Neurospora crassa OR74A: one gene and its partner. The protein of the gene in region 1 interacts with the protein of each later gene in a biochemical or structural test. Links are inferred from orthologs where the notes say so. Each region holds a gene or a part of one and is shown in the gene's direction. Other genes may lie near its edges.

Region 1 (3,858 bases):
CGACACGGGAGGCTCTAGTTACAACCGCATCAGCAAGGGATCACCTGATGACTCTTGACTCAACTTACTCGCTGCATGCTTCCAAGTGAACCTTTTCATTCGTAATGCTATGGTACCCTGCACCTGCGTGGACAAAGATTGCCGCAACTGGCTTCGTCGTACGCTTCCATATCCTTTCGACACCACCGTCCAATCCGTATTCATGATCACCAGACCAGTTTGACTCTGAGGAGCTGTCCGACATGTCCATATCTGATTCAGGTGACCCATGGCCGGGCTCGGCATTTTTGCTGCTCATCGTGGGCGCAGCTGTGATAGAACGACTCGAGGAGATAGTCGAAGCAGCGTGTGATCTGGCGAGGTCGAGTTGTCTGGTAATCGAGCATGTGTCTTTCAAGCGAGTCTGTATTCTGAGGGCACATAGAGTCCTTAGTTTTGGTGTGTCATGGGTGACTTTTGTGCCTTGGGACAAAGATGGGCGAAAAGACTTATCGAGGCAAGGGCGAAGAGTTGGAGAAGATCGGAACGGGTGGATGAGATGAAAAGGGTGGTCGGACTTGGTGTCCCTCGTAAAAGCAACCTGCTAAAACAATGAATGGGAATAATGCTCGGTAGTGATAATGTCTTGAGGGGTATTTGAGATTGGAGCGATGCCCAATGAGCTAGATGATGCACTCAGGGTGGCCCGAGGGGTGAAGAGTCCCTTTGGATACAGTAGGTGGGCGGGATGAAGATGTGTGAAGGCAAAGGTGGCAAAATACAGAATACGACAGAGAGAGAGAGACGGAGAGAGAGACGAAACGGAATGTGGACACTGGACAGGTTGATGATTCGTTGTGATAAGTGAGAAGCTGTGAGTGTGTGTAGCTTCTCCGCAAAGTGGACTTGCTTCGAGAGGATGAAGCTGAAATGAATCCGACAGAAATGGCAGGTGTGAGGGAATCTGGCTGGAGGTGATTTTCCATTCAGTATCTCCTTCCTTCTTAGAAGGACACATCCTGTCTGGCTGGCCTTGTCGCTACAGTTTTGATACCGATCGGCCCCACTTTTTCCTAGCCATCATCGTCCGGGCCCGGGCCGTGTGCTTCAAACTCCGATGCTTGGGACCGGGGCATCGGTTAGGTTTCGGGGGGCTCGGATGGCGCGCAGGTGGCAGCGAGGTGTTTGGTTCCGTCATCTCCAGTTATGGCGTAGGTCCCGTCGCTGGAAATGCACAACTGACTAAATGGACCGCCGTACCATACGGGGACCTCGCGGTCTTGGCGCACAGCCGCACAGGTACCTCCACAGTACCACGCAGCGCTGTCAGCCAGACGAGTAAGGAGAGCTAGCTCGGCCAGGCACGTACAATCTTGGACATCAACCTCCATTTCCCGCCTGGCCTATCCACTACCCATCCACGCTCCCGCCCCGTCACTTCATCCATCACCAACTAACAACAGCCGTTGCTTTACCAAACCGCAATCATCACGAGCTGCGCGTAGCAGCACACCACCGCAACAATGGCCAACACAACCCCCGCCGTTGTCATGGACAAGTACGTGCATCCAAGTGTCCCGTCTCCACCCCGCCCGCTCCTTAACAGCTCCGGGGCCGTCATCGCTAACATCCCCTAACCAGCGGCACGGGGTTCTCCAAGCTAGGTTCGCGACTCCGACACCCCAAGATATCCAATGACCACCGATTGACCAAGCTCTTCGTCGTCTGCAGGTTTCGCCGGCAATGATTCCCCCTCGTTCGTATTCCCGACGGCCATCGCGACCAAAAGCCCCTCGGCAGGCACCGGCGGCTCGGGCTCTGGCCGCCCCGCCGTAGCCAACAAGCCATCCTTCCTCACCGGCGGCGCGGGTCCAGGTGGCCATCTCTCAGCAAAGCGCGGAACCGAAGACCTCGACTACTTTATCGGCGACGAGGCCGTAGCGGCCGCCAATGGACCTGGTACGTTGGTCTACACCGCCTCAACGGAAATGGGTGCTGACGGTGTTAGGCTACGGGTTGCACTATCCCATCAGACACGGACAGATCGAGAACTGGGTGCGTTCAGGCTGCTAGATGGCATGTCACAAATGCCTAGAGCTAACTGGAGCTTAGGATCACATGGAAAGGTTCTGGTCCAACTCCATCTTCAAGTATCTGAGAGTAGAGCCTGAGGACCACCACTTCCTCCTCACTGAGCCCGTAAGACTACACTTTCCAAGCCACATCAGTACTACGTCTGCAGCACTGACACGTCGATTCAGCCTCTCAACCCTCCCGAGAACCGCGAAAACACCGCCGAGATCTTCTTCGAATCCTTCAACTGCGCCGGTCTCTACATTGCCGTCCAGGCCGTTCTGGCCCTTGCGGCTTCCTGGACATCATCCAAGGTCCAGGACAGATCCTTGACCGGTACTGTCATTGATTCGGGTGATGGTGTGACACACGTTATCCCGGTCGCCGAAGGTTACGTTATCGGCTCGTCCATCAAGTCGATCCCTATTGCCGGTCGCGATATCACCTACTTTGTCCAGTCGCTTCTCCGTGACCGCGGCGAGCCCGATTCGTCCCTCAAGACGGCCCAGGAGATCAAGGAGGAGTACTGCTACGTCTGTCCGGATATTGTCAAGGAGTTTGCCAAGTACGACCGCGATCGCAGCCGATTCCTGAAGCACACCATTACCCAGCCCGGTGGCCGCCAAGTTACGGTTGATGTTGGCTACGAGCGTTTCATGGCGCCCGAAATCTTCTTCAACCCCGAGATTTACTCGTCCGATTTCCTTACGCCCCTGCCCGTGGTTGTTGATGGTGTCATTCAGTCTTCGCCCATCGATGTCCGTCGTGGTCTCTACAAGAACATTGTTCTTTCGGGTGGCAGCACGCTCTACAAGGACTTTGGTCGCAGGCTACAGCGCGATATCAAGCAGCTTGTCGATACGCGAATCAAGGCCAGCGAGGTGCGCAGCGGTGGAGCAAAGAGCGGTGGTCTTGATGTCCAGGTTATCACCCACAAAAGGCAACGGCACGGCCCGTGGTTTGGTGGTAGCTTGCTCGGTCAGACGCCCGAGTTCCGGTCGTACTGCCACACCAAGGCAGAGGTATGTTTCTTTACCCTTTTACCATTGGCAGTCTGGTTGCTGACGGATCTTTACAGTACCAAGAATATGGACCCAGCATCGTGCGCAGGTTCGCTCTGCTCGGAGGACCTGGTGGATCTTAAGCGTAGTTATTTGTGTACAGGAGCGAGTCCGCATCTTATTTGGCAGGCAGCGGGCGCCGATGCTTATATAATGGCGATGAATAGAAAAGAGGAACTACTTAATGCTAGTGAAGTTGGGTCAGCGTAGACGGCCAATGTGTCTGTTGTTGTGTTGATGTTTAGGAATCCGTTGCGCAGAGCAACGGTCCCCTTAAAAGGGGGGCTTAATGGTACCGATCGGCTGGTTCCGGAGGCGGCGTGCCAAGCCATTGACGGCATTCACTGTAACTCTCGGTAAGCAAGGATGTGTCAGCACCACGACCACCGGTTCGCGCCGGGTGGCCTGATATGGCCCGACAGTTCTGGAACTGGCCGAACTCCCATCGGGCAAGCTAACCGATAGCTTCGCATCAGTTTCACAACTTGCTGATTTTTCTCTTCATTTTTTCAATGTTGTTCCTATTCTCAGCCCATTGATTAGATTCTAATCAGGACTGGGCTCGATTGTCATGTTGAAAGATGTTGCCTGACATGCTCGGACGTCACCTCACAGTAAACCGACCGTGTTCCCAGAGAGCATTCACAGTTTGGAGGGTTCAGTGATCAGATTGCTTACTTTGCGCCGGGCAAGGAGCAAAAGGTTATGCAACTTTCTGCATGCCTTCATAGAGGTCGGTACCATA
Region 2 (3,951 bases), on another chromosome or scaffold:
CGCTTCGATGAATCTGCTAGTCAAAGACTGTCCGAGCCGTTGCTGGGAGCAGCAGTGCGCCGCCATCAAAACCCCTTTGGTGCCTGTCCTTCCCTTCACCATCGACGCACCACGGCTTGGGGGCCCAATGCTGGAGGCTTCGGGTGTAAGATGGACAGGATAACAAGGAATGTGGATCGTGGCTAGCGCCCTGAATATTCGTCTGGTTTCTATAACGGTACCTCATGACGGAAAGAAAGATGCCTGTCGAAGAATGTGATGATGATCAGGTCGAGGTATGGAGCCATAGCTTGAGCATATTGGCACCCCCACGGGTTCACCCCAAATGAGGGTTTTCACCTCTCCGCATGCTGCGTGGCCCGAACGTTGACAACCATGAATACTGAATAGCCGGTCTCATGGTATCTACCTGCCCACGAGGCCTGGGGCGTTAAGAGGTTTTTAGATGTAAGGTGACACTGCGGTGAAGTGTAAGGTTCGTGGGTTGTGGACCTTAAGCTCAGTCATGAGTTGAGATGTTGGCAGACACATATGTTATAGAGTCAAAGAAGACTTGCTTGAGGACGTTTCGGAGGCATGGACTGTTGATGTATTAGGACAACGGAATCAACTCGACCACTTGTCTGCCGGCCAAACTGGCCTAGTTCGTTGAATACATGATATTGAAGTGGTTAAAGCTTCAGTCGTGAACACTGCCGGCGTGGTGTACCAAGTTTAGATGGTAGAAGTATGGAATGATGGCCTACAGAAAGGCCCCACTTGCTCTTTTTGCAGGTTGGGGTCTAGGTATGTTACCAACCTACTTAGGCTCTGCTGCCGCCTGGGATTGCAATATACATACATGTGCCGTACGGTAGAGGTACATCGCTGCATTGCCTGCCGTACACCGTTTTGAGTGGCAGTCTTGCATCACAAGTACTTGGAGGGACGGTCTACCCACCTTCAGACGTGCGCAGGACCTGTGTAGGTACATATGTACTTGGCGATGGAAGGTGAGTGGCGTAGAGACCTCTCCACGTGTGCAGGTGGTATGTACTATCTAAGGTAGGTAAGGCAGCCCCCACAACCCCGATGTCACTACTGGGGGGACACTACAGCTTTAAGTACGGAACTCCCCACAGCCTTGCATGGACTGCACCCTAGAACTATACCGAGCAGGCCTCTCCCTAAATCCGCCGCATTTAACTGCCCGTTTTCTTCCCAAGTAACGACATCCTCCCGCGCAGCCTCGATAACCCAGTAGATCCAACGCGGCGGATCAGGTCGACAAAGGTACACATTGCCTATGCGAGCGATACCAGCACGCCGCCTTTCGTGATGCCCAGTTCATTGGTTGCGACGACAACATTGGTGCTGCTCGCTTGAGAACATGGCGGACCTCGAGGTCACTGAGCCTGTTGAGAACGAGCAGCAGTTTTGGCACGGTGAGCAAGCTTGCTAAATGGCCCTCCCCTTTTGTGGTGCGCTTGTTTCAATTGCTGAACAAAGACCTTTCGCAGCCCTGAACAGCATCCTTTCCGCCCCCTGCCCTACCCCCGAGTCCCTCGACGACGTTCTGCGATCATGGCTTGAACTGGTCGCGACCGGCCGGGACCGCTATCTCGACGATGAAGACGACATCGCGACATGTTCCCAACAGCTCCGACTTAGCAGCATCTTCAGACAGAACGCCGACTATGTCCGTACCCAGATCATATACAGCCTATTGCAGGAGGACGAGTACGGGCCGTTGCATGTCATTTCCAACTTCCTCCTGCTAGATGGCCGTGCCGAGGAAGAGACATTTCGGCGCATGGTCAACGAAGGATGTTTTTTGCGACTGCTCGAGCTCATCAAGAGTTGCGGCGCGCACGATGGCCGTCTTCACCGGCTACTTCTCGAGTTGATGTATGAGATGTCTCGCATCGAAAAGTTGCCGCATCAAGACTTGGCTCAGGTAGAGGACGAATTCGTCATTTACCTCTTCCAACTTATCGAGGCCTTCTCTGACGACGTGGATGATCCGTACCATTACGCCGTTATTCGTGTCCTGGTATGTTGTTGTGCCCCAAATCCGCTTTATGAACCTAACCACTAACGTTGGCCATGGGTAAGCTGGTCATGAACGAGCAATACATGGTTGCGTCAGCGTCCGGAGCTGTTGACCCAACTGCGCCTGTTACTCATATCACAAACCGAGTCGTCAAAGTCCTCAGCCTCCATGGCCCGTCTTTCCGAACTTTTGGCGAGAACATCATCTTGCTTCTAAATCGAGCAACCGAAACATCACTCCAGCTGATAATATTGAAGCTGCTCTATCTGCTATTCACCACCAAGGCGACTTATGAATACTTTTACACCAACGACTTGCGCGTCCTTCTTGACGTCATCATTCGTAATCTGCTCGACTTGCCAGTGGAAATGAATACCTTGAGACACACATATCTGCGCGTTCTCGCTCCGTTATTATCGCACACCCAGCTCAGCCAGCCGCCACATTACAAGCGCGATCAAATTCTTAGCTTGCTTGAAATACTTCGTGGCTCAGGAAGTGCGCACTTCCTACCGCCCGAGCCAACTACCCTCCGCTTGGTTGAGCGTGTCGCAAATATTCCATGGCTAGTGGACGATGAGGGCGTCTTGAGTTCTGTTCCCATGAAGAGCCTCACGCAAGCGCAAAACGGTAGTACCGTTAGCGTCATTGCAAACGTCCACGAGAAGCCAGGTATAGAAACACCAAGCAGAAAATCAAATCTCGCTCGTGAGCTCAGGCATGAACAGGAGGATGCGGAAGACGCCGTGAGGTCAATAATTGCCGTCGGTCCCGCGAGTGATACGCCAGAAACTACAACCTCAAATCTCTCGGTATCGAGTACCACCGAAGGGCACAAAGCAGCAGGCCGTCGAAAGCCGTCACCACCGCCGGCAAGACGGCTGAGGGCCCAGAAATCGCTTCCCATTGTTCCAAAGCATCGCCACGGTGTGCCGGTCTCCCCGCAACCACCACATACGCCAACAAGGATGATCGAGAATTCCACATTTGCCCAAGGTGACAAGCACGGGGTTGCTGCTGCTAGCAGCTCATCACCGACAGCGGCTTCGGCTGCGGAAGCCGTATCTGGTGATGGCAAGGTGAGTGGACCAGTGGCCAAAAAGCAGCCCCCCAAGCTCCCCCCTCCACGGCGCGGCAAACTCAGGGCTGTCAACAGTTTGTCGACATTACATCCGGTGACGGAGTCGCTACCCCAAACTGGGTCGACACCGGTAGCTTAGTCAGCGCCTTGTACGGTAACTGACAAGGATCTTAATTTGCGGGCCGGATTTACTGTGATGTCGAGCATTCTATCAAACACCAAGGTGGCTCGCCCCAGCAATGCGATTATTGCGAACATGACATTCTGTAGATACAGTCACAGGAAACGTGATAGAGCCCTGAATTGCCCTGGCATGAGGCACAAAAAAAAAAAGGGGGGGGGGGGGGGCGGGGAGGGGAGAGGACAAAAGGTTGCCCAAGTCACAAGTTTGGATCGGCTTGCAAGCCTTCGAGGGTTATTTCGACGAACACTATATGGGGTATCTTGTCAAACTCACCTCGGGTTAGCCGGCGGATCACTATTCCAGTTGTCACTCTTACTGGACGGCAGAGGTTTCGCTGGTTCCTAAAATGGCCAAGTGATATTAGGTAAGGCGTTGTATCAGAGGAGGTTGAGAGGAGGTTATGTTAGAAGGTGTTGGATAAGGGAATCTGAATGTTGTGTGTCATTTTCATCAGAGAGAAGCAAAGCGGGCAGCCATAGGCTCCGTATATCCTTTGTAGGATGAAATGTAACGGCTGCCGTAGCATTCTTACCACAACCAAGCGCTGTCCCCAGTAAGGTTGAGATTATACAAGCAATGCCTATTCAGGAAGACAAGGGCAGGGCAGCTTGGACTGAGTAGTAAACGAAGACCAAAGAGGAGTTGCAAAAAGGC

Evidence for each region.
Region 2: the proteins of arp-3 (region 1) and NCU02418 form a complex in vitro, tested with the Schizosaccharomyces pombe proteins (2 studies listed by BioGRID). The link is inferred for Neurospora crassa OR74A from reciprocal best matches to the Schizosaccharomyces pombe genes arp3 and dip1.

The regions. Positions count from the first base shown.
Region 1 is NC_026502.1:2,534,717-2,538,574, forward strand, and holds arp-3 (actin), read left to right. Parts: upstream 1-1,310; 5' UTR 1,311-1,502; coding exon 1,503-1,537; intron 1,538-1,620; coding exon 1,621-1,643; intron 1,644-1,710; coding exon 1,711-1,938; intron 1,939-1,987; coding exon 1,988-2,034; intron 2,035-2,091; coding exon 2,092-2,178; intron 2,179-2,240; coding exon 2,241-3,074; intron 3,075-3,130; coding exon 3,131-3,196; 3' UTR 3,197-3,358; downstream 3,359-3,858. Other genes in the region: NCU01757 (asparaginase), read right to left, coding at 1-14, 69-298. UniProt on the Schizosaccharomyces pombe protein: Functions as ATP-binding component of the Arp2/3 complex which is involved in regulation of actin polymerization and together with an activating nucleation-promoting factor (NPF) mediates the formation of branched actin networks.
Region 2 is NC_026507.1:2,561,583-2,565,533, reverse strand, and holds the start of NCU02418 (hypothetical protein), read left to right. Parts: upstream 1-1,151; 5' UTR 1,152-1,369; coding exon 1,370-1,424; intron 1,425-1,499; coding exon 1,500-2,032; intron 2,033-2,094; coding exon 2,095-3,252; 3' UTR 3,253-3,951. Other genes in the region: NCU02417 (L-A virus GAG protein N-acetyltransferase), read left to right, coding at 1-11.